3 linked regions of the Diceros bicornis minor genome follow. The protein of the gene in region 2 interacts with the protein of the main gene of each other region in a pairwise test. Links are inferred from orthologs where the notes say so. Each region holds a gene or a part of one and is shown on either strand. Other genes may lie near its edges. The genes, in order: PRKCI, PARD6B and CEP76.

What was found.
Region 1: the proteins of PARD6B (region 2) and PRKCI interact in binary tests that used the Homo sapiens proteins (3 or more experiments, as listed by UniProt). The link is inferred for Diceros bicornis minor from reciprocal best matches to the Homo sapiens genes PARD6B and PRKCI.
Region 3: the proteins of PARD6B (region 2) and CEP76 interact in binary tests that used the Homo sapiens proteins (3 or more experiments, as listed by UniProt). The two-hybrid records come from large-scale screens. The link is inferred for Diceros bicornis minor from reciprocal best matches to the Homo sapiens genes PARD6B and CEP76.

The regions. Positions count from the first base shown.
Region 1 is NC_080754.1:51,657,313-51,668,437, forward strand, and holds the start of PRKCI (protein kinase C iota type), read right to left. Parts: upstream 5,060-11,125; 5' UTR 4,880-5,059; coding exon 4,779-4,879; intron 1-4,778.
Region 2 is NC_080758.1:11,468,953-11,479,589, forward strand, and holds the start of PARD6B (partitioning defective 6 homolog beta), read right to left. Parts: upstream 5,296-10,637; 5' UTR 5,077-5,295; coding exon 5,011-5,076; intron 467-5,010; coding exon 244-466; intron 1-243. UniProt on the Homo sapiens protein: Adapter protein involved in asymmetrical cell division and cell polarization processes. Probably involved in formation of epithelial tight junctions.
Region 3 is NC_080755.1:10,839,550-10,850,529, reverse strand, and holds the start of CEP76 (centrosomal protein of 76 kDa), read right to left. Parts: upstream 4,861-10,980; 5' UTR 4,650-4,860; coding exon 4,587-4,649; intron 3,550-4,586; coding exon 3,394-3,549; intron 2,342-3,393; coding exon 2,260-2,341; intron 1,637-2,259; coding exon 1,412-1,636; intron 334-1,411; coding exon 148-333; intron 1-147. UniProt on the Homo sapiens protein: Centrosomal protein involved in regulation of centriole duplication. Required to limit centriole duplication to once per cell cycle by preventing centriole reduplication.

The sequences.
Region 1 (11,125 bases), on a different chromosome or scaffold from region 2:
ATACTGATTCTATCCCCTAAAATCACCATTGAATCTATACCCTCTTTTCTATCTCCTTAGAATCTCTCTCCTGGACTACTTCCAAAGCCTCCAAATTAGTCTCATCCATCGCCAATTCATCTCCCACACTCGGTCCAAGAGTGTTCTTTCTAAAATGAAAATCTAACCCTGCCTCTCTCTTAGATAAAACTTTCACCAATGAGAAAAAGTCTGAAGTCCACAGTATGATATTCAAGAATCTTGATGACCACTAGGTCATCTGTGAACCTTCTTATTAGTCTCACTTCTCATCAGTGCCCACTCTTCACACTTTATGTCCTAAGAAGGAATGAATACGGGACTAACAACTAAACTGATCTTAATTCCCCAAACATATCAGGCAGTTGTACAATGCCTGGAATGAACCCCCACCCAACAGCATTAACCACCAGGCAAACCTATTTATCCTTGAAAAGCCTCCAACACTTCATCCTGTAGGAAGGCTTCCCTCACCCCAAACTCCTCCCCAACATCCATCCCTGCATGTACCTTATACATGAACACACACACACACCTTTGTTAACTCTTCTATGTCTTTCCTCCCATAGGTCTCCCAGTTCTTCAAAGGCAGAGCCTTGTATTATCCACCTCTACAGCCTCTGTGCCCACCCTAGCACTATGCACCGGGCTTACAGTTAAGTGTTTATTAAACTGAGTTTAAACACACTTTGTAATATGTGAAATCTTAAGCAAGACTGGAATTGTAAAAACTCATGTTTTAATTAAACGGCTCATTTCAACCACAGAAAAACAAACACTCAAGTTACCTTAAAAAGGGGGTTGGGAGTTGTGTTAGAAAGCTATCATAGACCTCTAGGGAGAATTTTTTCGTAGAGTGCTGCTTCTTTTTCCTTTAGTTTGCACATGGTCAGCCCTGGCTTCACCAGCCTCTCTCTCAACTCTGCGGCTTCAGTCCTCACTGCTAAGATGCAATTTATCTCCATATTATCTAATCCAAATTTCTGAGAGGGTTGTTTTGGTTTTGGTTTCTGGCACCAGGCCATCATGTTCTTTCTCTCTCTCTGGTAAAGCTACGGATCAGCTGCCCTATGGTGAGGTGCCATATCAGAAGTTCCAGGACCAACAGCTCACATTCCCCCAACTCGCAACTCAATATACTATTTTTATTTCTTTAGAACAATTACTAAAGTATATTGCTAAAATTATTTTGCAATACTTTTAAAGCCAAGTCTCGCCAAGACTTGTTCACAGTGAGAAAAATCCTTCACACTTCTTCCCTGAACCAGCTATACATTCCAAATGTGCAAAGAGTTAACAATCTCCTTTTATCTGTAAATGGCACAGAAAGAATCTTCTGGATTGTTATAACTGCTCAATAGTGGTTTAAAAAGCATTTTTACAAGTTTTTTGCAAAATTTCCCATACATTTATAATGTCAAGAAATGAAGAGTCCAGACATTTCCTTGTGAAATTCTATCCCATAATATCAAGTAACTTTATATAAGGATAAGCACATACAATGGCAATCTATCACTAACCAACAGAACCTGTTTCTCTTCCTCCACACTAACACTACTAGGTAATGATTGAAGAAGGCGGGCCACTCACTGACAAGCTCTGGTGGCGAAGAAAGAAGGGTACAGGCTGTGAGACAGGCACTCTTAGGTGGTCTCCAATAAAATCAGACTCTCAGTGCTGTTAATCTCCTGCTTAAAAACTAGAAAAAATCTAATTAAATGTCTATTATATGTACGGAGACAGCACATTTGCACTAAGAACAAATTTAACAGAATGAGAACACTATACACATCTTTGAAAGGAGAGGGCAATTTATTCACTAAAATATTCTGGCTATTCCGAGATTAAACATTTGCTGGAAAGAAATACTGTTAGAAGGGGATAAAGGGAAAGCTCTCTGAAAATGGCCATTCAGAAGATCTGAGGGAAAATTTTTCAAATGCAGATTGTCCTTACATTTCTTGATATAAAGGAAGAATTTTCTATTTTCAAATCAGGTAGGTGATCTAGGTAGCCAACCTGTTTATTACCTATCCTCAGTGCTGACTCATTTTAGTTTCATCTGTAGTAATGAGCAGCTGACTCTGTAATATCATAACCATCAGTTTAGACTATTGTTAATAAACATATAATCTTAACAGATCTAATTTCAGAGGACAGAAATCGGTACAATTTACAAAGTGCTGATGTTGTCCTTAAATGAGGCTTGAAATGAAAGCACTATTAGAAAGCTTTCATTGACTAAAAAGCACTAAAGAGCAAGGGATTGATTCTTTCATTTCTTAGCAAAAATTCATAGGTTTTAAAAAAACAAAGAAAATGTAAACTTGAATGTCTTGGAGAAATTTTAGTCAAGCACTAAAAGGGTTCTATGCCCTTATTCACTTTTTTTAAATAATTAGGGCAATAAGCCAAGAAAATATGATACCTACATTCCTAAAGTATAGCAAGCCGACTTTGGTTTCTTTCCAAAGGAAATGCTTACAATGATTTTCATTTACTAACTAGGCCTATTTACATTTGTCAAGCTAATAAAAATGGGAAAAAGGGAAGAAGGACTGGTTTCTTCATCTTTCATAGTTGGAATCATCCGAAACTATCTAAATTTTATAAGTCAAGAATTTATATTATTTAAAGTCATAAAAGTAGACCGGAGAACTAAAAAATAAGAGTTTAACAATCAAAAATTGAGAGGCACCAGAAGGAGAGGAAGCAAAAGGTAGTGTCCACCCAATTTCTCATCTCTCAGAGGAAGGAATCAATAGATACTATCTAAAGTTGATAAATCATGAAACAGAAGTATAACTTGTAAAGTAATGAAGGAAACCTCCAGAAGAACCAGAAATAACTGTCAGCAGTAGTTATCTCTGGAGGTTGGGAGGAGGAGATGAGGGACACTTCTTATTTTATACTCCTATACAATTTGCACTTTCCTACTTTGTGTGTATATTCATTTTTTAATCTAGTTTTTTAAACTGTCAAGAATCAGGAATCTTAAAAAAAAGAACATGCACTATATTTCATTCTCCATACCTAACAACTCATGAATTGTCATCTTAAATAATTTTATTTATTTATTTTTTCCCCCAAAGCCCCAGTAGATAGTTGTATGTCACAGTTGCATATCCTTCTAGTTGCTGTATGTGGGACGTGGCCTCAGCATGGCCAGACAAGCAGTGCGTCCGTGCGCGCCCGGGATCCGAACCCGGGCCACCAGCAGCAGAGCGCGCGCACTTAACCACTAAGCCACGGGGCCGGCCCGAATTGTCATCTTTATAGAATGGAACACTTTCTAGAGTGAAATATCTCACCTACCAAATTAAAAAAGCAAAGCTTTTTTCCCCTGGTGCAAAGCTCATTGCTGACCATCCTCAAGTCAAAACAGCTCTTGTCACAACTAAAATCTTTTAAAAAACATACACACGCTACTTGGTATTGTTTTAAAATCAAGACCTCTTTGATCAATTTACCCGAACACTGATACTGTCCAAAATAACCCGTATAAACTACTCCTAATACAATCAAGCGGATAAACAGGGTCAGAGGCTTCATAGCAGCAAACTAGTAAGTCTTTACATCAAATCAATAAGACATTTAGGGGCTTATATTTTCTTTGAAATCAAAACAAGAGAGGCATTTTGAAAGTGTGCTATCTTCACTGATCCTCTCAGGAATTTAAAAGTATGCACTGCAGTTTCAACCTCCTAGTGCCTGAGTTTTTTAAAACAATTTACTTCTGCTTGGACAAGCAGTAAGACAGGCCAAAGCCGTGGGGTTTTGTTAACCCTTAGTTTCAAACCTTTATGCTCACACTAACATTTCACCTTTCTAATACTCCCAAATATAATTATCTCAAATAAATTCCAAACCATAACTGAATTCAAGGGAAGGGGGACACTTCAGGTCACTGATTACAGAATATGATTTAATACAACGATTTTAGGACTGGATTATTTCTGGTAACCACAGGAGTTATAACTTAGGTAATGATATGAGTAAGGATCACAGATTTGAAAACTGTGCCGAGGCTCGTCCTCTTCTCCCCATGCAATATATCTCACTCTATCGGGCAGTCCTTGAAGCAACACTGACAAAGAAGCATTCACAAAATTTTAATTTATACATACGGAACCTAATCGTGGCGAGGCATAAGTACCGAATGCACATCCCTGAAAACGCACCAGCTTTACGCTTAAATAATAACGCCTATGTCTAATACACTGGCAGCCTGACCACAGTCCAGATACACTTCGTGAAATCTAGGCGATGAAGATAAACCTGACTTAGAGAACCAGAAGTTTTAGGCCTGTTGGTAATCAAAAGGACCAGGAAACTGAAGCAGTCCTGTCTTTTAAGCCCAGCGTGCAAACTTAGTTAACCGAGGCATCACTCGGAATCAACTCTCAACCCCAAATACACCCAGATTTAAGGACGTAAAGCCCTGTAAATCTGTTAGTAGGCAAGTCGCTCGAATCCACCAGGTGGACCTACGCTATTCCAAGGCTCCTCCCTCGGACCCTACTCCGGACCCTCAGCCACGCGACTCCCGGGAGCCCTGCACCATACTTTGGGGGTGCCCCAATCCAGCACCCCATGCTGCTCCCTCGACCACCCGGTCACCCATCCCAAGTCCCAAGAGTCGTCCGCCCACACCAACCCGCCCACAACATCTCCAGCCCCTCATGCTCCCCTCCTCCAGGCTAAGTCCAGCTGGCCTTTCCCCCGACCCCTACCCCCCACCTCTACTCCGAGACACTCACCCGCGGTAGTAGGCTTTCACCCGGACCTGGTGAGAATGGTCCCCGCTGCCGCCGCCCGCGATCGGGTGAGACATGGTACTGCTGTCCCTCTGGGTCGGCATCTCCTGACCCCCCCCGCCTCAACGCCGGAGGCCGAGGGTGCGGGGGGCGCGCCGAGCGCCGTGAGGGACTCCGCTGCCCGAGCCTCTCCCAGAGCCGCGGCTGCCCGCTCACCTACCTGTCCTCCCCGCCCGCGGCGCGGACCCAAGGGTCGCCTCGCCGGGGCAGCCGGAACCGCGCGGCTCCTCCCACAGCCCGCGGCCGCCACTGCCTCCCCCGCCGCCCGGGCCCAGCACGCCTCCCCGCCCCGGTCCCTCCCACCTGGCTCGCTCCAAAGGCCCACATTCCGGGGGAGGGCGGGCGCAACCATCGATCCCACTCAAGGAGCCTCATGTCCGGCTGAACCATTCATTCGGGGGGCAAGAAAAGGAGGAGAGAACGGGAGACGCTCACTGTCATTCAAACACGCGGGAGGGGGCCTTTCGTGGAAGCTGTGACTGAGAGAACGCGAAGGTTCGGGTAACTATAGTTCTGTAAAAAGCCCCCTCCCCGCAGGGAAAATGGTAGGGGACAAACACTGCGGCATCTCACCCCAGTTTCCTAACTTGGTCGCATCCGCGGTCAGCCGACTTGGCACTCCGAGTAGATTTGCCCGGTGGGCTTCTGGGATTTGAAGTTTCCGTGGGATTCTGGGACTTGAGGATCTTTACGTGTAGAGCGCCCCGCCTTCTCGCTGACAGAGTCTGTCTCCACCTTGCGCCCTAGGAGCCGTCGGCGTGGAAATCCTGAATCCAGCCTGGGCGTCTGAGGTCACTGGAAATGATTGGGCTTTGTCACATTCTAGACTTTGTTCTCTGATCCCTTCCGATTGCATAAATCATCTCAATTATACAGTGCCTTTTTGGGGAACAAGAATTTGGTTACCTGCTCAGCACAGCTTCTTTTGTGGAAAGAATTTCATAATATATGTAACAAATGTAATAATGAATGTAATAAAGGAGGAAACTCAACTAGAAGATATGATGGAAGACTGACTTTTCTTCCTTCGCAGCCCCCATATCTAGGCCCCTGTATGTTGACATTGCATGGAACGGGTGCACAATGAATATTTGTTCAATTAATCATTCATCCATCCATCCATCCATCATCATTTTTTCTGTTAACACCGGCTACCCAAGGATTATAAAGCATCCGTCCTTGTAGCCTAGTCTCTGACGTTCCACTGGTCTTGGCTCTGTCACATATTGCAAGTACAGGTAGCGTGAATCCAGCCCCTGCATCAGTCCTGGTACCAACACATACTAAAAGGGTTGGAATAATCAAAGAAATAACTTTCTTTAGGCGTGGGGGATTGACTCATTGGAGTTATGTGTGACGCAGCCTGGTAGGATGTCCTTCAACTGCTATAAACTTGAATTATACGCTCTTAATAAAAATTCCATTGGAAGACTTGGTATCAAGGTTTTTGGCAACTGAGGATCTGCATCAGCATGTTAAATACGAATTAACTGTGGAATATAAACTATTTCTAAAGTGGGATTGTGAAATTTTAATTGGATTAATGGAAAATTTAATATGCTTGTGACAAATTTGAAAGATTATATAATCCTCTAGAAAAGGAAATTTATGTTATACGGGAAGTAAGAATTTAGAAAGGCAATGCATGGGGCCAGCCCCGTGGCTCAGTGGTTGAGTGAGCGCGCTCTGCTTCTGCCGGCCCGGGGTTCAGATCCCAGGCACAAACCGACGCGCCGCTTCTCCAGCCATGCTGAGGCCGCATCCCACATATAGCAACTAGAAGGATATGCAGCTATGATATACAGCTATCTACTGGGGCTTTGGGGGAAAAATAAATAAATAAAATTATTAAAAAAAAAAAAGAAAGGCAAGGCAGGAAAAGCTTATTTTGGATTCTTATTCCTTAGAAGTTTGAAAAATCCTTCAGCATTGGCCTCGTAGCATTCTTTGAAAGTAATCATTGTTTTCAGAGGAGGCTTATTGCTTACTTTGTCATCAATAAGAATCTGTAAATATTGATAATTTGCATCAATCCCACCATATAAATAAGTTTTTGTATTCCAAGTGATGAAAGCTCAGGGAAAGCATGAGCTTAATTTTTTTAACAGCATTATGGAGATATAATTCACATAACATACAATTCATTCATTTAAAGTGTACTATTCAATAGATTTTAGAATATTCACAAAGTTATGCAATCATCACCACAATCTAATTTCAGAACATGTTCACCCTGGCAAAAAGAAACTACACATGTATTAGCAGCAACTACCCATTCTCCTTAGCCTCTGGCAACCAGTAATGTATTTACTGTCGCTATGGATTTTCCTATTCTGGACATTTCCTATGAATGAAATCATAGAATATGTGGCCTTTTGTGACCGGCTTCTTTTACTTAGCTTAATGTTTTTGAAGTTCATCCATGCTGTATCATATTTTAGTTCTTCATTTCTATATATGGCTGAATAATATTTCATTGTATGGGTATTCCACATTAATGCTGCTATGAACATTCATGTATAAGTTTTTGTGTGAAATATGTTTTTAATTCTCTTGGGTATATATACCTAAGAGTAGAATTGCTAAGTCATATGGTAACTCTATGTTTAACATCTTAAGAGAATGCCAAACTGTTTCCAAAGTGGCTGCATCATTTCATTTGTACCAGCCGTGTATGAGGGTTCCAATTTCTTTACATCCTCGCCAACACATGTTATTGCCTGTCTTCTTCATTATAACCATCCTAGTGGTTGGGAATGTGGTATCTCATTGTGATTTTGATTTGGATTTCCCTAATGACTAACGATGTTGAGCATCTTTTCATGTTTTTATTGTCCGTTTGTGTATTTCCTTTGGAGAAATATCTATTTAAATTCTTTGGCCATTTTTAAATTGGGTGATATGTCTCCTTCACCGAGTTGTAAGAGTTCTATATATATTCTGGAAACAAGTCCCTTGTTAGATGATTTCAAATATTTTCTCCTATTCTGTGCATATCTTTTCATTTCTTGGTGGTATAATTTGCAGCACAAAAGTTTTTAATTTTGATGAACTCAAATTTATCTATTTTGTTGTTGTTGTTGCTTATGCTTTGGCGTGATGTCTAAGAAGCCTTTGTCTAACCCAAGGTCATGAAGATTTACATCTATGTTTTCTCCTAAGAGTTTTATAGTTTAACTCTTACATTTAGGTCTATGATCTATATTGAGTTAATTTTTGTGTGTAATGTAAGTGGTCCAGATTCATTTCTTTGCATGTCGATATCCAGTTGTCCCAGCACTGTTTGTTGAAAAGCCTATTTTTTCCTCATTTAATTCTCTTGCACCCTTGTCAAAAATCAGTTGACCAAAATGTAAGAGTTTATTTCTGAAGTCTCAATTCTATTCCATTGATCTATATATCTAACCTTATGCAAGAATCACACTGTTTTCATTACTGTGGTTTTGTAGTAACTTTTAACACAGAGAAGTTTGAGTCTTACAACTGTTTTTTTTTGTGTGTGTGTGAGGAAGATCGGCCCTGAGCTAACATCCATGCCCATCCTCCTCCACTTTATGTGGGACGCCACCACAGCACAGCTTGACAAGTGGTGCGTCGGTGCGCGCCTGGGATCTGAACCCGCGAACCCCGGACTGCCGCAGCAGAGCGCGCGCACCTAACCGCTTGTGCCACCAGGCTGGCCCCTACAACTCTGTTTTTCATTCAAAATTGTTTTGACTATTCTGGGTTCCTTATATTTCCATTTGTCAATCTTTTCAAAATAGCCTGCTGGGATTTCGATAGAGATTGCGTTGAATCTGTAGATCATTGTGTGGAGTATTGTCATGTCAACAGTATATAGCCTTCCTACCTAAGATGTCTTCCCATGTATTTAGATCTTTAATTTCTTTCAACAATCCTTTATAGTTTTCAGAGTAAACGTTTTGCATTTCTTTTGTTAAACTTATTCCTAAGTATTTTATTCTTTTTGATGCTATTATAAGTGGAATTGTTTTCTTAATTTCTTTTTTTTCTCTTTAATTTTTTCATTCAATCATTCTAAATGAGCATTTTACTCTTTTATAGCCTGGAATCCTAAAATGCTTGAGATATAATTACTTTGAAGTATGTTAATTTCATGAGGTTTTAGAATTTGATTTAGCCTATAAGTACAGAAAATGGTTCTGACATCAGTAGCTTTTAGCTCTGGCTACACATGAGAATTGCCGGGACAACTTTTACAAGCTATGTTGGTGGTGGTAGGGGAGCATCTCAGACCATTTGAAACAGAACCTCAGGGTGGGGTCCTGGGCATCAAGATCTTTTTTACTTTCATTTTTTTATTGAGATATAATAGACATATAACATTATATTAGTTTCAGGTGTACAACATAATGATTCAATATTTGTATATATTGCAAAATGATCACCATAATAAGTCTAGCTGGCATCCATCACCACACAGTTACAAATTTTTTTCCTGTAATGAGAACTTTTAAGGTTTACCTCTTAGCAACTTTCAAATATACAATACAGTATCATTAACTATAGTCACCACGCAGCAGTACATTATATCCCCAGGGCTTATTTATTTTATATATGGAAGTTTATACCTTTCTACCACCTTCACCCACTTCTCTCACCCCCGCCCCGCCACCCTTCACCTCTGGCAACCACCAATCTGTTCTCTGTATCTATAAGTTCAGAGTTTTTTTCAGATTCTACATATAAGTGCAAATCATATGGTATTTGTCTTTCTCTAACTTAATTCACTTAGCATAATGCCCTCAAGGTCCATCCATGTTATCACAAATGGCAGGATTTCCTTCTTTTTTATGGCTGAATAATATTCTATTGTGTATATATACCATCTTTTCTATATCCATTCATCCATTGATGGACACTCAGGTTGTCTCCATGTCTTGGCTATTGTAAATAATGCTGCAATGAACATGGGGGTGCAGATATCTTTTCAAGTTAGGTGTTTTTGTTTTCTTCAGATAAATACCCAGAAATGGGATTGCTGGATCATATGGTAGTTCTAGTCTTAATTTTTTGAGGAACCTCCATACTGTTTTCCACAGTGGCTGCACCAATTTACATTCCCATCCTAATTTCATTTTTGATTATTCATTGCTAGTGTATAGACATACAATTGATTTTACATATATCTTGTATCCTCCAAGCTTGCTGAACTCTTTTATTAGTACTAATAGTGTTTTGGTGGATTCCTTAGAATTTCCTATATACATGATTATGCCATTTTAGAAGACAGATTGATTTACATCTTCCTTTCCAATCTGGATGCCTTTTATTATTTTTTCTTGCCTGATTGCATTAGCTAGGACCTCTAATACTATCTTGAATAAGAAGAGAGTGTAAACATCCTTGTCTTATTCTCAATCTTATGTGGATAGTTTTCAGTCTTTCACCATTAAATGTAATGGTTGCTCTACATTTTTTTGTAGATGCCCTTTGTCAGGTGGAGGAAATTCCATTCTACTTCTGGTTTATTGACTATTTTTATTATGAAAGGGTGTTGGGATTTTTTTTAGTGCTTTTTCAGTGTCTACTGAAATAATCGTGGTTCTGTCTCTCATTCTATTGGTATGATATGTTACATTAACTGACTTTTGGATGTAAGCCAACCTTGCAATCCTGGGACAAATCCCACTTGCTTATAACATATAATCCTTTTTATATGTTGCTGGATTCACTTTGCTAATATTTTGTTGAGGAATTTTGAATTTATACTCATAAGCGTGGTTTCCTTTAGTTGTATAATAGCTGCTTTGAAGTCTTAGTCTGCTAAGTCCAACATCTGTGTCTTCTCAAAGGCAGTTTCTGTGTGTATGGGTCCCAATTGCCTGTTTCTTTTTATGACTCTTAATTTTTTGTTGCAAACTATACATATCCATTGTAGCAATACCAGAGACTGATCGAGACTGGTTCCAGGGCTTGTTGTCATTGTTGTTGTTGTTTGCTTGTTTATTTGTTTAGTGACTTGGCCAGACTAGTTCAGTAAAGTCTATTTCCCCTACAGTGTGCAGCCTCTGATGTGTCTCCTCAGAGGGTGTAGCTTTGGCATGCACACTGTCACCCTAACTCCATTTCCCTCCCCTGGGGGATGACAGTGATTTTAGGCAAGTTCTCTTTGACCATCTCTTTCTTTCATCTCCCTACCAAGCTTTTGGCTGGTTGGCCTTTATTGATATCACTCCCAGCTGTTAGCCTCCGCTAATTGGCAACTGATTGTCCCAGTGTTTTTAACAATGCCCTGGGACATAAACTGTTTCACAGTCTGATCCCAT
Region 2 (10,637 bases):
AAGATGTTACAATTAAAGTAATTAAAAACACGAATTTTTCTAAAATACAGTTAGTGACATATAAAGATATTAATAAAACCAACAATATCACAAATGTTTTAATCCATTTGTTAGACGATATGGTAAGAAGACTCACACAAAGCGTCTATTCATTAAGTTTGTGGCAAAGTCTGTGTATTCCATCAATGAGGAAAATAAACTACTTCTGTTTCTAAAACAATTTTCCTAAACAGTGGTACTTACCCTTTTTTTGTATAAAAATCCTCAGCAGTGGATTGGCCGTTGAAACAGCTTTGTGGTAATTATCATCGTTATTTATAGGCAGTAAGTCTCCATGGATGTCGGCATAGCCTACTAAAACGTCAACGTTGGGTATCTTATGAACATGCTGCAGTAATCCATAGAACTCCTCAAATTTTCCAGGTTTTGATCTTTCCAGTGAAAACCGACGAAATTCAGCTCCAAACTATAAATATAATAAACGTATTAATTAAAAAACAAAAGTAACAGGGCCCCATTTTAAAATGCATGCCATAGAAAAGTTAGCAGGCACAGTATTTCCCTTAATAAAGAAGAAAGTTCTAGTGACACAGTCTGTTGTGAGAAAGCTCATTTATCTGGAGATAAAAGAGCCTAAGAAAGGTGGAGGAACGTGCCTTCTCACTGCTGCATCTCTGGAGGGCACTCCCTTTAAGAGACGCAGCCTCAACTCCACCCCTGGGGTCCCTGCGCCTCACTGGGGACTGTCCTGCCGAGTGACTCAGCTCAAACCCTGCCTGGGGCTCGGATCCCGACAGCAGCACTCTCCTCACTCAGTGCATCGCGGGGGAATGCAGACGTGCCCAAGATCTGATTTTGACCGTTAGCAAAAAGCATCTAAGTTTCCTCCCCCATAAAGGCAATTACGATTTCACAGGAAATGGCAAGAAAGAACAGCAACATATACAAAAAGGACTTTGAGCTTCTTGGTATTAGGCTACGATGAAAATGGAAGTACACCATATAAGAAATAGGTCTAGAGATGAGAAGCATCTTCTCTGTGTTAGTGCTGAAAAAAGCAGCTTTATCAATACATCAAATATATGTCCTCCAACCACCCAATTAACACAAGGAGTGTTTATGTGCTTGGCACAGTGCTAGGCCCTAGAGACTGAAAGGCTCGGGCCTGCACAGAAGCTCACCAATTAGTGGGTGAAGGGAATAATTACTTCAGTGAGGTATTAAAGGATCACATAAACAGAGATGATAGCACCTCCATCATGGCCAATATTTATCATCACAATTCTGATTCTCAGGTCGGCCTTACTACTCTAGAATCACATCTCTGCTCTCCAAATGACGAATTATTAAAGTGGCTCTTACTCGACACTAAGGACTGGCTTCATCTAGTCCATAACAAACAGGATCTGTGACTTACCGTGGGACTAGCATGGCATTTCCTCAAATGCAGAAACCTCAGACAGGTTAATCAGCCTTCCTCAAAAAGCGTCCCAGTCACATAAGTTTGGGAAATGCTACATAACTATAACCACACGCCTAGGAATCACTGTGGGGACCAGATATCAAAGGCTTGGTTAAGTCCTGCGGTGGATTTTTTAAAAAGAATTTTTAAACAAATGTTTGCCATGTGTGTTTGACCACTAAACTCATTTTCCCTCTAAATATCTATTATTAGCAAGAAATACTAATGTACCACTAAGATAGCCTTAAGCATCATGCAGGGAAAGTCCCTATCAGAATAACCTGAGCAGGTTACAAATGTCAATTCATTTTCCCAAGGACCCTCCGGGACATCTGGACTCACTGCTTTTGCTGTATCTAAGTCCATCTGCCTTGCTTATACCCACACAACTCACCAGTTTTAAATTAAAATTAAAACTCACTAAACCCACCTCTTACCTCTAATAAATAATTAAAAGATTCCAAAACACATTCCTGAATTATAAACACTAACATTTGTCAAGAAAATAAGGTGACTCATACCTAAATCGCCCAAGAAGTTTAGTCACACCTTCACGTTTCAAAGTAAATAAAAACTCGGGAACACCCTTCCTATCAGAGTTAGTCTTATGATGTTATCAAAAGTCATAGTTTCTCCTCCATTTTCCTTATTCTGGTATCACATCACCAAGTTCTGAGGGCTTTCTGATTCATCCCAGGGTTTATCACTTCCCTGGACACATAAACAGGAGCAACATCTAATAATTGAACATTCTGGGCTTCAATGCTTTTGCTAAAGCTTCTGGATGAAAATTCTTTGCTCAGCATTTTTTTCTCTTGCTTAAATGTTATGATAGAAACAATGGAAAACTGTATGGCTTCACCGTAGATGTGCCCTTTAGCAAACGTTAGCAGAAAAACAACAAGAGAAATTGTTATGCTTCTTGTAGCACAACAAGAGGATGAAGAGAACTTTTCACTACATCAAGAAAAACAGGAAGAGAGAGATCAAATTAAGACCCAATCAACAATTCTTCACTATGTAAACCATTTACAACTTTTTTTAGGCTGGTCTAGTTTGTCCTGGCCACCCAGAATGCGTATGGACACCCTTCTCCCAAGATGTGGGTACACTGTAGAAATGCAAACTTTATTTGAATATCCTGTTTGCCCAGGAAAAATAATTAGGAAACGTACAGCTCAAAGACTGTTCCAAGGTTCTTAAAGGACACCACCTTGATGATTGATTAAGAACTCCCGACTCAAGAGAAACAAGATAAATCAGTTACCAAAGAAAAGTGACACGGTAGCTGGTATCACAATTTAACTATAGTTACTTCTGCATTATCCATTACTTTGATTATTTGTACCATCTCCCCTTCCACGAGCAAAGATAATAAAGTTCATACTACTGTTTTCTCTACAGAAGAAAAAGAGATTCTGAAATGTGAATCTGCACATCACCTAGTTGTGGTTACGATCTCTTAGCCACCAGTTTTGTAAAAAGCTTGTGACATCATTAAAGCAGTGAAAAGGGAAATACTGTTTCCAACATCTGACCAAGTATTTCAAATGGTCAAGATGACAAGTGTTTCATTTAATCCACTAAAAATAAATGTATCAACAATATATATTTCGAACGTGAGGTATCACAGACACCCTAGAAACAATACGTATACTGAGCCTATTTATGAACAGCTAGAACAGTGGGACCACACTTCATTCGGTGCAGGTTCTCAGACTGCCTTGATTCTCTTACAAGACATGGTTCACTAAAAGCGCAGTATGGCAGGTCAAATATATAACATGTAGTTTAGACATAAGTATGGGAAATATTCACAGATCAGATGACAGAAGAGAAGGGCAGAAAGCCTGCAATTCCAGTCCCCAAGTGCTCAAGGTTTCCTAGTCTGAGAGATAAATTACTATTTGACTGTATTAATCAGTGCACCTAAAATCCCTACTCATGTTTTCTTATGATAAAAAAATTAGAGGCTTAACTACCAAGATTAGGACCACAAACTGAATTTTAAGATTACGCAATATCACAAGTGTTTTTCTTTTCTTAACCTCAACTCCCACAAGCCCAAAGTAAATGTATTACAGAAATGCCACGACAAGGCTCAACTATTGGGCATGGAACCACTACCGCCACTACACTGCTAAGGGAAAACCTCTATACATTTTGAGTCATCTTATCTCTCAGTTCAACGATGTCACTTCAATTTGCTATGGCAGTTCCACAGAGGACACAGGGCAGAGCATATTGCTTAAATTGCTATCATTACATTTCTATTCTTATTAAACCGAATGGGTTCTGAAACTACTGCCTCTCCTGATACATGAGTTAAGTTGCAAACAACACTGTAAAATGATGTTAAAAATGAATGTAGATATTCTGGAAGGAATAATCTCAGTTTCAGCAACTTACAGAACTTTGCTTATCAATTCCAGATAATAAAAACCATTCTACCACAGGCTGCGGGGAGCTTTACTCTATCACTTAAAATCACTCCTTGATTTTGCATTCTCCCTAAGTACACATTCAATGATATTCCATTTTTTGAAGCTGATATGCTTTTACTTTTCTCCTACTCTTTTATGTGTTTTGGTCTTCCCAACTCTATTTCAAATGTTTTCAGGGCCCAGCCAATGTCCTCTCTTTTGTATTCTATACGCCTAAAAGTTACTCTGTAAAAAAGGCTTTAAGATTTCATCATAAAAGCAGAGCTTGGCTAAGTCATAACCTTTCTGAGCCTCTGTCTTCTTGGAGAAACAGACTAGATTATCTAAGCTCCCTCTGGCTCTTCAATTCATGAAATGCTCACTGAAAATGTTCCCGTGGCTGCCGATCACCTTCAAATTCCAGTTCAAAACCCCCTTTGGAAAGCATTCCCGAACTAATCCCCACAGACTATCCTCCTGCTCAGACAGCCTTGCAATTTAGGAATTCAGTAGATACCGACGTAATTATCAGCAGATTGGCATACCGCTGGCCTAGAATGAAAACACTTGATGTGAAAAGGTGGCAGGATGGAATGAAAAGAGCATCCAGACCCAAACTGTAAAGTGCTACTCGAAGGAAAGGCGATAGCGTTAATTTTCTAGATTAAATGCATACCAAAGTTAGTGCTAGAAAAATCCCCAGCAAGAGGCAAAGCTAACTTTAAAAGCGCTCTTTCCGTCCCTGGGCGACCCACTCGATGCACTCCCGCACCCCAGAGAGGGGGAACATCTTGCGGAACGGGTGTTTCCAATACCTCGTACTCACAGGCCGGGAGGGAGAACCCCCCCGACCTTTCGCTGCACGCCGCGCTCCAAGCCTCCCGCCCTCGCGGACCCCCGGCCCTTCCTCCCGTCCTCGACCAGGACCGCGATCAGGCGCTCCGCCGGTCTTCGCACCCGGGCAGGGGCAGACACGCGGCCCCTCCCTAGCCCCTTCTCCGCAAGTTCACCATCCACCATCTGCCGCCTGCGAGCCGCGCCACCGCGCCCCGCCCCGCCCCCGACCCCGCGGCAGCTCCCCGGCCCCCCGGCCGGCCCGCCCCGCCCCGCCCGGGCCCCGCGCACCTTGCTCTTCACCTCCATGGTGCCCAGGCAGCCGCCGCCCGCCCCGGGCCGGTGGCCGCGGTTCATGCTGAGGCCGGGCCGCCCGGCGGGAGCGCGGGCAGCGAGCGCGCGGCCGGCGGCGGACGCGCTGCGGCCCGGGCGCGTCTCACAGGCACCTGCGGCGGGGCGGCCGCGGCTCGGTCTCGGCGCACAGCTCCGCTCGGCTGGCTCCTCGCGCGGCGGGACCGAGGGTCGGACTGCAGGCGCGGCGGGCGGGGACGCGGCTCCCTCCCTCGGGCCTCGGCGGCGGCCGCGACGGAGGATGAGGGGGCGGAGGCGGAGGAGGAGGAGGGGGCGGGGCAGAGGGCACGGGGCCGCAGCCTCGCTCTCGGCCGCCTCCCCCGCCAGCCCGCGCGCGCGCACTCGAGCCGGGCGGGAGCCGCGGCGCGTGCGCGCGCTCACCTGCAGCCTGCGCGGAAGCCTCCGCGGCTCGCGCCCCGCCCACACCCAATAGGAAGCGCGCACCTGCGCCCACGGCGCCAACCAATCGATACACGCCTCGCGCCGCGTGTGGGCGGGCCGCCTTCGCGAAAATCCCGCCCACAGCCGCGCGATTGGTCCCGCGCTGCGAGGGAGGGGCGGGATCACCTGAAGCCGTGGGCCTCCTCCCCGACCTAGCAGCAGAGCGCATGCGCGGGCTGTGGGGTTTCCGCCCGGGGACGGCCGGCCGGAAGCGCGAGCGCACCTGGAGGCGAGCGGGGCGGGTGGGCCTTGTGCGCACGCGCGGGCGCGCGCCTGGTTGCCCGGGTCCCGGCGGGAGCTCGCGCCCGGCTGGGTGATGGAACGCGGGGCCTGGCAGGTTGCGGGGACGTGGCGGGGCTGGTGGGTTCCGGCCTCCCCCGCTCCCCTTTCCACTTAGGGCTGTTGCAGCCTGCAACAATGTTCCTCCACCACCCCTTTGCGTCGTTTAGGCGTCTGGTTGCAACTGTGGTTGCAAAATTCCAGTTTTCTCGCTCCTGCAGCAGTTACTGGGGAGAACCTCAGGGCTCTCCTGGCGTGGTTTTGTCCGTAGACACTCTTCCGTCTCGTCCCTGAGGTCCCAAGGGGTCGAGCGGGCGCTGGAAGGGAGGGAAAGTGAGCTGAGGCCCGGGATGGCTCCTCGCTCCTCGCAAGTCCGCCTTCCCTGAGGACTTCTCCTAGACCAGCCCTCCAGGGCTTTCTGTTTTTCTTTTCTTCTTTTTTATTTATTTTTAACTTCTGAAGTCTTCTCCCCTTCCTCTAGCCCTTTCTTGGCTATTTGCTGTTTCTCACCAATAACAGCCTTTGGATTGTCTTCGTTTCCCTGATAACAAAAGACTAAATCTTTCTCTCTAAATGCCCCAGTGCCTCCTCAGAGGGACCCTGTTTAGCACTGGCCGTGCTGGGGCGGTGAGGAGGAGACCCGCAAGTCCCCCCACCCTGCAGAAGGGCTCACCGGTGGGACCGCTCATCAGAGCTGTTGAGCCCTCCTGTAGCCGGGCCTGGGCGTGTGGGCGGGGTTTCTAATCCCAGACGGCCAAGAAGAGCTGGTTAGGGTGCTGCCTTCCACCTGAGTCCTCAGGGCCTTGCTCCCCTCATCTCCTGCCCACTTCACGTCCCTCCTGACACCTCGCACCCCTCCTTCCCAGCACTTGTGACAAGTCCCAGTTTTCCCATGTTTTCCAGGAGTCATCCACCTCTGCCCTAGGATGGAAGCTCTGAGAAGGCGAGGGCCACATCTGCTTTGCTCACTGTCAGCATGTAGCCTGGTACCTGACTCCCAGCAGGTACTCAGATATGCCTTTGCTGGGTGCTGGAGCTGAGGGAGTGTGGTTTCTCTGTGCTAACGTTGCCCCACCTGAGTTCAAAGGTGAGAAACCCATCTTTCCCCCTGAGTGGTTCAGTTCACCAAATGTTTGTGGGAGAATTTATGGTGTTTCTGGCTGTTTTGGGTGGAAGTACGGATGGAAGGGATAACACCCCAAGCTAAATAATAAGGCTGCCTCCTCCACCCCCTGTTTAAAGCACCTGCTCGGTGACTCAAGCTGAGCTGGAAATGAAGTGTGGTCCTGTGATGGGGGAGCGTGACAGTTTGGTCTCAAGACCCCTTGATACTCTTAAAAATTATGGAGGGCCCCCAAGTATTTTGTTTATGTGTGTTATGTCTTTCAGTATGCATCGTATTAGAATTAAAACTGAAAAATTTGTAAAACACAAGAATATACAAGCACACATTCCTGTAGTCATCAGGGTGATGATATCACATATCATGTCCCTTCTGGAAAACTCCATCATATACCTGTGAGACAATGAGGGTCAGGAGAGCAAGTGACATCTTAGTATTGTGAAAATAGTTTTGGCTCTGAGAATCCCCTGAAAAGGCCTCAGGGACCGCACTTTGAGAACCGCTCCCTAGAACCATGTCACCACTTTTAGGGATCTGTATTCTCCACTGCCACCCTCCTCTCTCCAGTTGCTGGGGCCACACCCTGGGAGCGAGGGCCCCAGTTCTATGTGAGCGATTGTTGGGTTGAGCTTTATTACTGTTATCCGTACTGATTTATCAGGCCCTTTTCAAAAGGAAGTTCGTGGGTGCCAGCGCACCTGTGTGGGCCCTGCATTCCTGGAGGTATTGTCACGTCCTCTCTCCCCTCCCCCGGGTGTGGCATCCCTCTTTACTTGGACTTTCCTTTCTAGAAGGGAGGGCCAGACCAGAGCTTCCTGGATCTCCTGAGCGGAATTTGCTCTTCGGCCTGCGTCACAAGTGCGCCTGGGTTGTGTAAGGCAGGAATGTGGAAAATAGCTTGAATTTGATAAAGGTGTTGTGGAGGAGGGGAACCCTTTCATCCCAAGAGCTGTTATGGCCACAAGTTTGCTCGCGGGGCCTGAATTTCAGCCTTTCTTGAGAAGCATGAAGCCTGGAGAAATGGCATAGAGGAGTTTATCTTCCTCTTTCTTTGGTTTGAAGACTGAACCCTAATCTCATTTCTCTCCATCACCCCTCCCCACCCCCAAATCCTCAAGTTAAAGCTGATCAGGACCTACGTGTGGGATGAAAAGCTAGTCCCGTGCCTGGGAGGATTCATACTCAGTGAGTTAGGGGGATGAGTAAGGTGAGTGTGTGACATGGACTCTATAAATTATAGGTTCACAAACTCATTAGTTGGGAATGGGCTGCCACTGATTATTACACCCACACACTGTCAGATCTCTCTGGCCCATCTCTACCCTCTGAAAGAAGCTAGTCTGGGTGACATTTCTGCTTTATCTTCCCGTTCAATACTTTCTGTCTTTACATTCTTCTACGACGTAACACAACTGTTGTGTTTGTTCGGTATCTACCTTGCGAAGTGGAAAGAGTTTGTAATTTTCCACAATTATTTTTTATTGATTCTTGTCTTACACAATGATACTTTTTCCTTCCTCCTCCAATTCTTAGGGAAAAAAAAAAGAAAGAGGTGGCAAGAAACCATGTATAATAGTGGTGAGATTTTTTTCAAGAAGTTTCTCTTACCAGCTCTTTTTCTCCTTGACTGCTCAAGTTCCCTTTTTGATGGAGCTGGTTAATAATTCTCTGAGAAAGAGCTGAAGTGTATATTTATGAATCTCAGACGACTCACCAAAGCATTTTAAGCCCTTTTGCAGAGGTGGAATTAAGTCACATGATCTATTTTCTGGTTAATAGCTTATAACATGTTAGTACTTTGTGTGGGGGTGGGGTGGGAGTGCTAAAGAATTATCTCCTGGAGCCTTTAAGAAGCTAGATGCCCTTTCAGGTAAAAACTCATCTTCGTGGGAGGCAGTATGTGCCAGGCATTGTGCGTGAGCCCTGCCCTTGAGGGGTTTGACCTTTGCCCTCTCTGGGATTCAACGTCTCCATCTGTAAATGCAGGCACCGGATGAGATCATCTCCACAGTCCCTTCCAGCTCTTCACATGCTATGGTACCCCAGGGATAATGGAGATTGATCATCATTTCAACATTACCAGGGATGAACTGGAATGAGTAGGGTAATCTTTCCATCAGAGTCAACAGACATGCTGCACTCATCAGCTGAAATATGCCAGTTCCTAGGAGGTGTTGATGAAAATGATGATAACTAACTAACATTTATGAGGGTCTGACCTGGTGCCAGGAACTGTGCTCTGTGCTTTCCCGTGGATTATTTTATTTACTTTTAAGTAACATGAAAGAGGTTTAAATTTGAAGGCACTCAGATCTTGGTATTTTTTTAGGTGATAGATATTAATTTGAGCCCTGGCTCTGCTCCTTGCTGGCTACGTGACCTTGACCCTGTTCCTTTAACCACTCAGAGCCTCAGATTCCTCGTCTATAAAATCAGATGGTACTGACCACCTCATGGCGTTGTTGCAGGGATCAGATGAGAAACTATACGTGACACTTCTCTGCAATCCATCAAGCGTGGTGCGAATGTTAGTGGTTATTATTTAGCAAATAATATTGCCTACCAAAGCCTTTGGTAGAATTTCAAGAAATTCCTTGAAAGAAAACAGAAATGTGTGATAAACCATTCTTCTTGTTTTAGCACAGGGTGACCTTTTAATGGATACCTCATAGTTACAGGGGCTGAGATGCAGCCTACAGGAGTCATTATGTGGCTCCCAGCTGCCTACATTCAAATCCTGCCTCTGCCATTTTGTAGCTGTGTGACCTTGGGCAAGTACTTAACTTTTCTGAGCCTCCATTTCCTCATCTGTAAAATGAGGACAAGAAAAGAATTAATTGTCTTTATTCATGTACAAAGCACTTAGGATAGGACCCAGCACAGAGTAAGGACTCTGTAAACGTTACCTAATTATTTTTATTACCTACTTCCATAAGAGAATTCATTAATGTAATAAGTATTTATTAAGCCTCAACTATGTATATAACAGTGTCCTTGGCATAGAGATAAAAGATAATAAAAAAATAAAAGAATGAAGATGTGATTCCTACCATCAGCACTTCCCAGGTCACACATAGATTGGTTCAGCAAATACCCTTGAGCAACCAGCAAGCATCAGGCAAGGAAACACAAATATGAATATGACAGAGTTCTTGCCTCCAAGGACCTTGGGTCTGGCTGAGAAGTCAGACCTGCCAGAGGCGTCTTCTGGAAGCGATGAGCGCTGTAGTTGGGAGGGGGGCCGGATTGTTGGAGCTGACATCGGTCTCTACCACCAACCAGCTGTGGAACTCTGGACACCTGTCTTAGTCTCTCTAAAGACCATTTTTTTGGGAGAAAACTGAAGATAGTAACACTATCTGCCTTCTTTGAATTAATAAATATAGTGAGTGTCTATTATGTGCCAGGCACTAATCTAGATGGTGAGGATGCGGTCGTAAAGAAGACGGGACAAAGTCGCTGTCCTCCTGGAGCACACATTCCAGGGGGAGAGACGGAATACACAATTAATTAATTAAGGTATGTAGTGCCTTAGTGATAAGAGCCATGCAGGAAAGTAAAGCAGGGAAGGGGATGGGGAGGCCTGGGGGCGGGGCTGAGGTGTGGAAGGAGAAAGAAAACTTCAGATGGGGTGCCAGGGACGGCCTCTCAGGAAAGCTGGGGGGTGAGAGCGATCCCCAGGCTTCTCCGTGGGGGGCCAGGGGTTGCGGGGATGAGGGAGCCT
Region 3 (10,980 bases), on a different chromosome or scaffold from region 2:
ACTATAATACTGGGGTTCAACTGTAATTCTAATGTAATTCTTTTTACCTGTTTCCCCCTTGGCTTATAAAAGCATTTTAAAAATATAAAACATATTTACAAACAAACTGTGGCTATAAAAAAGTAACAGTGATATTATTCATCATACCTACACCCATAAGTTCCACAGTAAGATTGGTCACTCCATTTTCTGAGCCTAAAACTGATCGCCATTCAAGAAAATAGGATGCTACTAAAGTGGTCTCACCAAATATGTCTGTTTTGATTAGCACCATATGAATTGGATCACTTATTGATAACATTGTTGTTGAATCAGCCATTCTAGTTCCATCACCTAGCAACATAAACCAAAAAAAATTACACTATATTACATATTCAGCTAGGCAACATTAAAAATTCTTTTACTGAAAAGGATACTACCAATAAACTTATACAAAACCAAATAGAATAATTTGGTAATATCTCAGAAAGCGTGCAACAACTGAAATTAAAAGTACAGTCCTATTTCTATCACTAACTTTTGAGAGGACTGGTAGAATTGTGACAAGTTATCTAGTTACTTAATGCATATCAGTGTTTTCTAAGAGAGAAGTCTGCTCTTTAAAAGTACTTAACTAAAGTATATGCTACTACGATAAAAAGCCTTCAACTAGGTCAACATTAATCCCCAAACTACTTTTATCCCTAAACCTCTGGAAATAATCACTGTATTATCTACACAAAACTGAAAGATCCAGCACCTTGGAGCTAGCAATTTAAGTCATAAACTGCCTTATTAGGGTAATATTTTTCACCAGGGGTGGTGGGGGGAATAATAGATTGTGGTAGTGCATTAGCCGTCTTAGTAATCTAAAATTCTGAAGGTATAATTCTACAACTTTGCTAAGTTTACAAATATAAAGATTTCTATATTGACAACTAAAATGTATAAAATACCTTTATAGAAAGAAACAGTGTAAAACAATTACAGGAATCAAGTATCACAATTTTAAAGTTATAAAAATGGGAGTTATAAATTCACATCTAAGCTTTGATTTTTAAAAGTTACAGAACATCATAAATCTAGCTATCTTTCATAAATGAGAAGGATCACGTCTCATTCTCCACTATATCCCCAGCACTTGCCCAGCATAGTACCATGTACCCAATAGGCATTTAAATGTTTATTACTAAAGAACCAACCATTAAAACAGTCAAAAAATAATCCTCAAGGAAACTAATTAGCAGAAAATAAAGCAAGAAGGTGCATAGAAGTAGTTTATATACAAAAGAGCAGTGAGGGAAAAAATAAAAGACTAGGGAGATTCATCCTTTATAAATCTCTCCTTACAATAAAAGTTGTTATAGGTGTTCCACAACAAAACATAACAAAGATTTACTCAATTAAATGACAATTTATTATGGCTCCTTACCTAAGCTTTCTCTGTGTACTTCAAGTAAAAACCCATCATGAAAATCTGGTTCACAGGCACAGGGAACAGGTTTAGAACGAAAACGTTGGTTTCGAAAATGTAAACATAAAGTAAAGGTTGAACAAACTTGTCCGGGTAAAGGCTCAGGTTCTTGCAGATGTTCCAAGAAAGCTTTTCCACCCAAAACCTGAAGGTAAAGATACCTCCGTGTTGGATCAATATTAGCTGTAAAGTGTAGCAATATATATGAGGAAACGGCCAAATATCTTAAGCAATGTGATCAAGACAACAGGAAATAATAACTGGACAGAAACAAAACAAAGACTAAAAAAACAAAAAGAATAACAAAAAATTTACTATATATCAGGACCATTTGCACCCAGGGAAGGAAAGATACATAATATGATCTCTTTTTCTGAGTTTACATTCTGGCTACTTTCTCTCAGCTAGAAAGGAGTCAGAGCAAAAGTTTAGGATACCTTTGCTTTTTAGTTGCTTATCCAACATTCCTTCACCTCCACAAACCAACTCAGACAATTATCAACTCAGCAAGTATAGTCCTTAGACAATTATATTACCACTAAAAAAGCAAGGCCATATACTTTTTATAAAATATATTATTAAAACACGAGAAACAGCTGGTCCTATTTTTGCTTCCACTCTGCTATATATTAAATCTTCTGATATACTTCATGCAAATAAACATTTTGATGATTAGTCACAAAAATGTAAGTATTTCATTCTGGGGAAAAAAATTGAAATGCTTTCTATCAAATACCAAACACTACACCACATCTATCCACAGTACTATCCACAACTAAATTAATGTTAACAAGAAATACACATACTTTTTTTTAACAACGTTGACTGTTTATCAGTAAAACAAACAGGTTGTTTTGGAGAAGAAGGGAGTTCTTGATCAACACTGTCCTAAAAAAGCAGAAAAAAATCAAAACAAGTTAAAAACAAAAATTATAGTTAAACAAGGAAATGCTAATAATGGGACTTAGAACTGAACCACAAGTAGATAAGCTAAAGCCCCTCAAAAAACCCTTTATTTTCCTAGTATTATTAAAATAACGAAAAGCCTGCAAAAAAGATGATGCAGCCGGTCACTCCCAAAGTCTAATATTAAGGAATTAAGTTGACTTCCAGCAATGTCCATGGAATGCTAAAAACAAATCCTTAATACCTTAAACGAAGTTAAACTTTCTCTAACCTCATATAACATTTGGCTTATGATTCCACCATGAATTGATTTTAATAAGGAAGTGACGTTCACACAGCAGAAGCTGTTACTAGGTCAATTTTTTAACAAATGGGTTTATAAACGTCACAAACCAAAAAAGGATGCTGTATTAAAATACTTATTCCCTGGCGTATTATGAAGTCCATCCAATTTTTACATTATATTACCCAGGTATTGAGGTCACAGTTTCTAATTATTGCCTCATTTTCAAAAGAAGGCCTACTTACTAATTTGTGCACTGAGAGGCTACCATCTCACTACTGACCTATTTGTGTGAAAAGATTTGAAGGTTCTTACACAATTATTTTCTTAGAGAAACTGATAATTTGTTAATCACAGAGAATATAGTTCCAAAAGAGTGTATTTATTTTTAAAATAAGCTTAATCTAAAAAATTATAGAACAATACTAGTGAAAAAGAACTAGGTTATGGCTAACTAATTTGACTAAAATATATATACTTAAAGTTATAGACCTAGAGAATAACAAGAGAAAATTCTGTCACTGTAAAGAAAGGAAAATGGTACATAACCCCAATTTCATTGATACATAATCCTACTTGCTACATTCAAGGGTAGAATTAGCTTATACTTCAAAGATATTACTAGACAAAATGGTCTTATTCTAAAGTGGTTTTACTAACAGGAGAGGCCCCAAATATAGACCCTATAACCAGCATTAAGCATGAGAATACACTTATACTATCAAATTTTTTCCCCTAAAAGCTCACTCACAGTAACAAAATTAAGTTCTTTCATCACATCATCAATGATTCCCCGACGTCTAAGGGCTTTAATCAAATCATCTGTTGATAACTGTTGTTGATCAGGTGCCAATTCTTCACGTATTGTCTCAGCAAGGATTTCTCTTATTCTGCCATGGACATCCATCTATGCAGAAAACTCGCATTACAATTTACAACATTACAAAGCAATCAAATATTGCCAATTAGGTAATTTCTTTCTAAAATACTGACTCAAAGAAAAAAATGGGAGAGTACACAGACTAAATTCAGGAAAGCTTCTTAAGCTAATAGTAAATGTAAAATTGTTACCAGAATTCAATGAGAATAAAGGTAAAATCTTTTAAAGGAAAAACCAAAGAAAAAATTTTTTAAAGATGAATTTTTTTTAGTACAAATTCTAGAAATAATCTCTGATTATCTACTACCCTCGTTACCATTTCCCCACAAATAACACTCAACCAAAACAAATCTTTGGAGAGAGAATACTGTATAATCAAAATAACACAAACCTGGAGAAGACAATCAAAGTATGAATTTCAGCTTTCAACTTACTAGATGTGACCTCCAGTTAACCTGTTTACCCTTTATGGATCGGGAAATAACAGTGCCCTGTCAAGACTGTGAGGCGTACACAAAAGTCGGCAAACAAGCGCACAATACACGGAGTTCGTGGTACAGCAGCTTACTGCATTCAGCTGAGCGCCTCCAAGACAACGTTCTTCCTGAGCCCCGAAGGGTCACAAATACTTTCATTACAAATCCTTTAGTAACGTCTCTTTCATGACTTAAGAACTGCTGATTTGTTTCAACTTCAACGACACGGCAAGGTTCACCCTTAAAGTAATTCTAATTCCCACCTCTGAATATAAACCTGCTCCAAACACAACTTATACTCGACCTGACTTCCAGAAATCCCCGATAAACGCTTCATTTCCACACTGTCCTACGACACTAACACCGCTCCATCACCTCAGACTCTTACTGGCACTTTCTGGGCTCGCTCTTTCACCGAGACTAGAAAGTTCCTCTGGCGTCAAACCCGACGCTCTGCGCATCCCGCGCTCCGCGTCTCAGCCTTTGCTCGAGTCCCCGGCAAACAGGTGCCGCCGTCGGCCGGGCCAAGGGACGCCAGGCCGGGCGCTCAGGCCACACGGCGGGCAAGAGCGCGCCCGCTGCCCTCACCTTGCTCAGCTGCTGGTGGATGAGCTGCTTCAGCTCGGAGGCTTTCTCCGGGGGCAGGGACATGCTGCAGCCGGCGCCTCGCCGCCAATTCTCCCCACTTCAGGCGCCCCGACCCGCCCCGGAGCGCTGGTCGTGGCTGAGCACAAAGCCGGCGCCACCGCTCGCCTCCGCAGCTCCCGGGGGCGCGACGCCGCGTCAAGTGCGAGCTGGGCGGCGGAGGTGCCCAACTGTTGTTTTCAAACGGGGGCGGACAACCAGCCTGGGGACTGTCCCTCGCTCTGCCTGATCATCTCCGCCCGCAGCTGCCCCTCCCTCGGGGTCCTCACCCCGCGACCTCAGGGCACCCCATCATCTTGCCTTGCCAGAGTCTCCAGATGCGCCGCCCGCTCCCAACTCTCACCCTGTCGGGGTCCAATTCTGTCCTCTGGACCGGCAAGTATGTGGACGGGCCCCTGAGGACCCCGCGCCCAAGGACTCGAAGGACCCCGCCCGCCTGGCTCCGCCCCTCCCGCCTGGCCCCGCCCCGCCTCACTCGCGTCGCGTGGGGCTCCGGGGACTCCGCGCGGGGGCACGGTGCTGAATTTGCGGTTTTCGTTTTCTTTCCTCCCCCGTGGTTTCTCCGTTCCTCCGACTTCGGGACCACCATTTTGTTCCCTGCGGAGAATCGGTTCCCGACTTCGCGGGTTTCACTCTCCTGATGGTGAGTCCCTGGTTTCTCGAACTCTCCACTGCCCGGCTGGGGGCTGCTGCCCCTCCGGAGGCGCCTGTTTCCCGACTCGGGGTGCTTCACCCGGCCCTGGAGGAGTACTTGTTTCTTTTCCAGGTGTTCAGCTTGCGCTGAAAACATATGGAGGATGTGGCTGGAGGCGTCGGTCCGAATAGAACCTTTGTTGGCGCTGTCACCAAACGTATCTAAGTCTGCGGTTTGTAGTCTTTGTTGACTGTAGAACGTAATGTGTTTGGATGTGACAGATACGTTGTACATATGTTGTGCGGGTCATTGTCTTTACGTTTTATCCTAGGAAATCTTTTTTCAGCTAATTTTAGAGTCATTCTTAAGCTAGCAAATCATCGTCGTTAACCATAAAACTACAGATAGGGTAATAAAAGTAAGTTTTGCTAGTAAACACACGGTTTTATCGCTCTTAAAATTACCCGTATTCATTCATTGTTTTAATAAACATTCTGTTATGTGAAAATGTTAGAATAAGACTAGGTCCTTGTGCTCAAGAAGCTTGCAGTCTAATTGGAAACACATGTAAATCAATAAGGGCAATAAATGCTAAGCTAGAAATTTGAGAAGGATATAGAAAGGCCCTAAGATGTATTGGGAGGAAGAGGGTCACAAGGACCTGTTAAGAAAAGCTTCATATGTGGAATCTCAAAAAAAAAAAAAAGAAGCAACAAACTCGTAGGTACAGAGAACAGATTGGTGGTTGCCAGAGTGGGTGGGGGTGGTTGGGTGAAATGGGTGAAGGTAATCAAAAGGTACGGACCTCCAGTTACAAATAAGTCCTGAGGATGTAATGCACAGCATGATGACTATAGTTAACAGTACTGTATTATATACTTGAGAGTTGCTAAGAGAGTAGATCTTAAATGTTCTCATTACAAGAAAAAAAAATGTGTAACTATGTGTGGTGATGGAGGTTAACTAAACTTACTGTGGTAATCATTTCACAGTATATGTGTGTATCAAATTGTTGTGTTGTGTGTTTAAAACTGATACAATGTTATATGTCAGTTATAGCTCAACTTAAAAAAAAGTGATGGTAATTGAAAAATCACTTTTTGGCAATTTTCATTGTAGTAATGCACACAAGAAATAGCAATGATTCCAAAAATAATGTGCAATAGAGTACTGAGGAAGAAAATTTTACATCATTTCAAAGTATCTCCCTGAAACATATGTATTAATCACAAAAGGGAAAAAGTATGTTTGCGGGAGATACCTGGAAGCTTCGTAGCGAAAGTAATGTCTCAAAGATTATTGGTGGTAATGTTGACAGTTATCAGTGGAGTGGTGAAGAGGGAAGCCACGCTGGACTGTGTTGAATAAATGGGAGAAGAGGTGGAGATGTGTATGTGTACGTATTCACTCGTTAATTCAGAGATAAAGCTCCTGCATATGTTTTAGTGGACAGCTGTGGGGAATTTTGGCTGTGGAGGGACACTGAGAAGTAAGGTGGTAGCTAAGGGGGTATGTGAGATCAAGGGAGAGTTTTTTAGAAGGAAAGATATTAGAGCGTTTGTATATGCTGACGGGAAGAATCCAATAGTGAGGAAAAGATGGATGATACAGGAGAGTGAGGGTCTACCCAAAGCAGCAAAATCTTTGAGAAGAGGAAAGGGAATTACAGGAGAGAACCAGGGGATTAGTAGGTGACAGCAGTGAGAAGTGAGAGAGCACTCTCAGGGACCCAGAAAAATAAGATGAAGGCCAAAAAAGAAGCAATTGCTGGAAGAAGGCAAAGGAGGCGCTACATTAAAGAGATGCAGTGAAGAGCGAGTCAAGGAAAATTAGTCGTGTATTAGATGTGGGTGGTCAGGGAAAGGGAAGAAGGTTCCTGGTTTAGGTAGTTGGGTGAATTACAAAATACAAAATATGGGAAGAAGTTTGGATAAAAGTTTGGTTTTGTACATGTTGAATGTGAGTTGCCTGTGACGTAACCATGTGGAGATACCCATTAGGCTCTGGAGTTCACCTTTAAGTCATGGGGATAAATGTGTGTGTGTGTGTGTTTAGTGTGAAAAGAAGCTCACTCCAACCTTTAGGCACTAACAAAGCAAATGGAAAGAAGACCCAAGAGCACTTTTGTTCATACCTCACAGCCTTTACGCTTGCTTTCCCACCGCCTGGAATAGTCTTTTCCCTGGTCTTTGTGGGGCTCCCTCCCTCACCTCTTGCAGGTCCATAGTTACTTGTCGCGTGAAGTGAGTCTTTCCTTGATCACTCTGTTTAAAATTTCAACCAACCGCATAACACACACTCTCACTCGCTTAATTTTTCTCCATAGTACTTACCACTGTATATTTTACTATTTATTTTGTTTTTTACAGTAAACCACTCCCTCACTAGAATGGAAACTCCACAAGGGCAGGAACTTTTGTCAATTTGTTTTACTGCATTCCCAGTGCCTAGAGCAATGATTGACACATAATAGGTCATCAGTAAGTGTTAAAGCAATAGTGTCAAAGATGGTGGAGGCCCTGCTGACACCTCAGTTGCAGCTAATGAAAGAGTGGGTATCTAGCTGTGACGTGCCTGAGCATAAGCGTTCAGTTCTAGTGCTGTGATTACTGTCTTCTGTCTAAACTTTTAAAAGTGCTGCTAATTTTGATGACTTAACATATTTTTATTATTTCAGCCAGCTGTGTCTGTTGGAAATGTTGGCCAGCTTGCAGTAGATGTGATTATTTCTACACTGAGTATGTGTAAGATTGGTTACTTCTATACCGATTGTCTTGTGCCGATGGTTGGAAACAATCCGTATGCAACTGCAGAAGAAAATTCAACAGAACTCAGTACAAATGCTGAAGGTATGTAAGACTTCTGCATGTTTTATTCTACTACAAGGTAGAGTTGTTTTAAATTAGAAATAGAGGCTACAGATACTGTTTTGTAGCAAACATTACTTAGTGCCAGTTTTGTGCAGAATTTGCAATACAGTCACATTGTCCTATTCTCTTACATCCTGGTTTTAGTTCTTAGCCTTTTCTAAATGGCAACTCCTATGAGGGATGAGATTGTACTTGTATCTTTGGGTAGAATTTGAGAGTTCCAATTTTTTAACATGGGTTTTTTTTCCCTTTTATCCTCAGTTTTATTTTCTGTTCCCACTGGCACATGTAAGCATGACCTATACCAGGGAAAGGGGAAAAGAGAATTCCACTGGGCTCAGTCCTGTGAGTTTAATATGTGCTGCCTCATCTAAGCCTCATAGTCATCCCTCACATTCTTATAGAATCCATAATAATATGGTATCAGTAAGGCTCAGAGAGACTGAATTGCCTACTACTACTAGTAGGTGTATGCTTTTCCCACACCATAAATCTCCATAGTTCCTCATTGGACTAGCAAGCTTCGTTAGTCAGGGAACAGTTTCCTTTGCGCTGACCACTGTGTGTACGATGTGGGACTGCCCCGAGTGAGGGGAAAAGCTGTTGATCCTGAAGCCCAGGAGCATCAGTCACTTCATTCGATGGCTGACTGCTCTGTTGGCCTCTCTGTCTTCTGTTTACCATTTTAAGGTGAAAGCCAGAAGTGATAGAGGAACATGAAAAACCATTGGTGGAGTTAAAGACAAGTGAAGAAGCGTTTTATTTTTTGTCAGTTTTATTAACCATGTCATTAGGTTGCGATAATGAAATATACTTTCAAGAAATAACCTTAATATTGAAATTCCTGCAGGACAGATGGCTTTGTTAACACAAGACTGAATTTCAGCTATTTCTTAAAGGATAAGGACTATAAATGGTAGAACTAGAATTTACATTCTTTCACTGTTGATAACAGCTATCATTTATTGAGTATTTCCTATCAGCTGACCATCTTGTGTAATTACATGTATTGATTAGTTTAATCCTCACTGCTACTCCATAGGTAGTTTTGTAGTTGAGGAAACCATTGGACACAAGTTAAGGCCATGTGATTAATAATTCGTGTAACTGAGCTTCTACTCAAGCCAGTCTGGCCCCTGAGCCCTGCCTCTTAAGCACCACCCCACCCTGCTAATGGACCCCCCGGCTTTCCTCTGACACAAACTGGCAGCAGGTCAGTTGGGTATAGTTCTTTAATCTGCCTTTTCTTTTTAAGATGAGGTATTTTGAAGTAAATTATAGACATCATGTCATTCCACCCCCAAATATGTAAGTGTGCATCTCTTATCTTTTAAGAATGTTTTCTTACATAGCCAAAATATCATCGCAGTTAACAAAATTAGCAATTTCTTAATATCTTCCTATATCCTATCCATATTCAGATTGGCCCATTTCACCCCAAAATGTCCTTTCGAGTTAGCTTGTCTAAACCAGGACCCGTAGTACATCTGATTGTTGTGCCTTTGAAGTCTCTTTTACTTTAGAGTAGTCTCTTTCTTTTTTTTCCTTCTTCACAAAACTGATTTATTGAAGAAAAAACTGGACCCATTGTCCTATAGAATGTCCCCCTTTCTGCATTTGTCTGATTACATCCTTCTGGTGTCATTTGGCTTGTTCTTCTGGTCCCTGTATTTTATGTAACTGGAGTTAGGTCTAAAGCCTTGATTAGATAAAAACTAAATATTTTTGGTGGGACTACGTGAGAGGTGATGTTGCATCACATCAGAAGAAAAAGTACTGGGAAACAGGATGTTAATAACAAAAAAGAAGTGCATGATACACTGATGGAGAAGATGAGTATTACTGTTATAGAAGGTGGTGTATCTTACATTTTAAAGCTTAGCCTGCCCACTCCCTACAGATATATCCTCTTCCGACTAGGTCTGTTGTATGTGTATGTCAGAGATAGATTAGAGGCCTGAGTGGCCTGTGCCTTAGTCCCTTTTCCCTAACGCCTAAACTTCCTGCTCTAGCCTCCTTTGCCCTGAACATACATAGTGGTCACTAGACTTGCTGATGCTTCGTAGCCCCCAGTCACCTCACACCACACCACAGCAGTCCAGGGGGACATTCCCCAAAAGACCTGTAACAGGAGAGACATGATCCACCAAAGGATTTGCCTGCGTCTGGGGTTAGTTGTAATCTTTTTATAGTACTAAAAGCTTACCCCTTAGCACAATGACCTAATCATGTGTCCCTTAGAGACTCTATATTTTGTCTTTGGTTCATATCAGAGCTTCTCATTCTTGGAGGTGAAGTTGGGCAGGAACATCTTAAGCATCAGTAAAGTGGGCCCCTTGTAGAATTTAATGAAAATTATAGATCCTTTTCCCAGAAAAAATGCATATACATTGATTCACAGAAAATTTCTCTAGAAAGAAGAGGGGAGAATATGAGAAACCAAAACATTCTTTTTTTTTTTTTTTAAAGATTTTATTTATTTATTTATTTTTCCCCCAAAGCCCCAGTAGATAGTTGTACGTCATAGCTGCACATCCTTCTAGTTGCTGTATGTGGGACGTGGCCTCAGCATGGCCGGAGAAGCGGTGTGTCAGTGCGCGCCCGGGATCCGAACCCAGGCCGCCAGCAGCGGAGCGCGTGCACTTAACCGCTAAGCCATGGCACCGGCCCCAAAACATTCTTAAGAATGATTTTATTCGTCATAATGCCAGAAGTTTCCAGGGGAATACTTCTCTGGTTTTACAATCAAAGTCAGAAGAAAAATAATTTTTGATATTTTCTTACAGTTAACTTTTCAGAAATGAATATTTCATAGAATAAAGCCCACGGATGC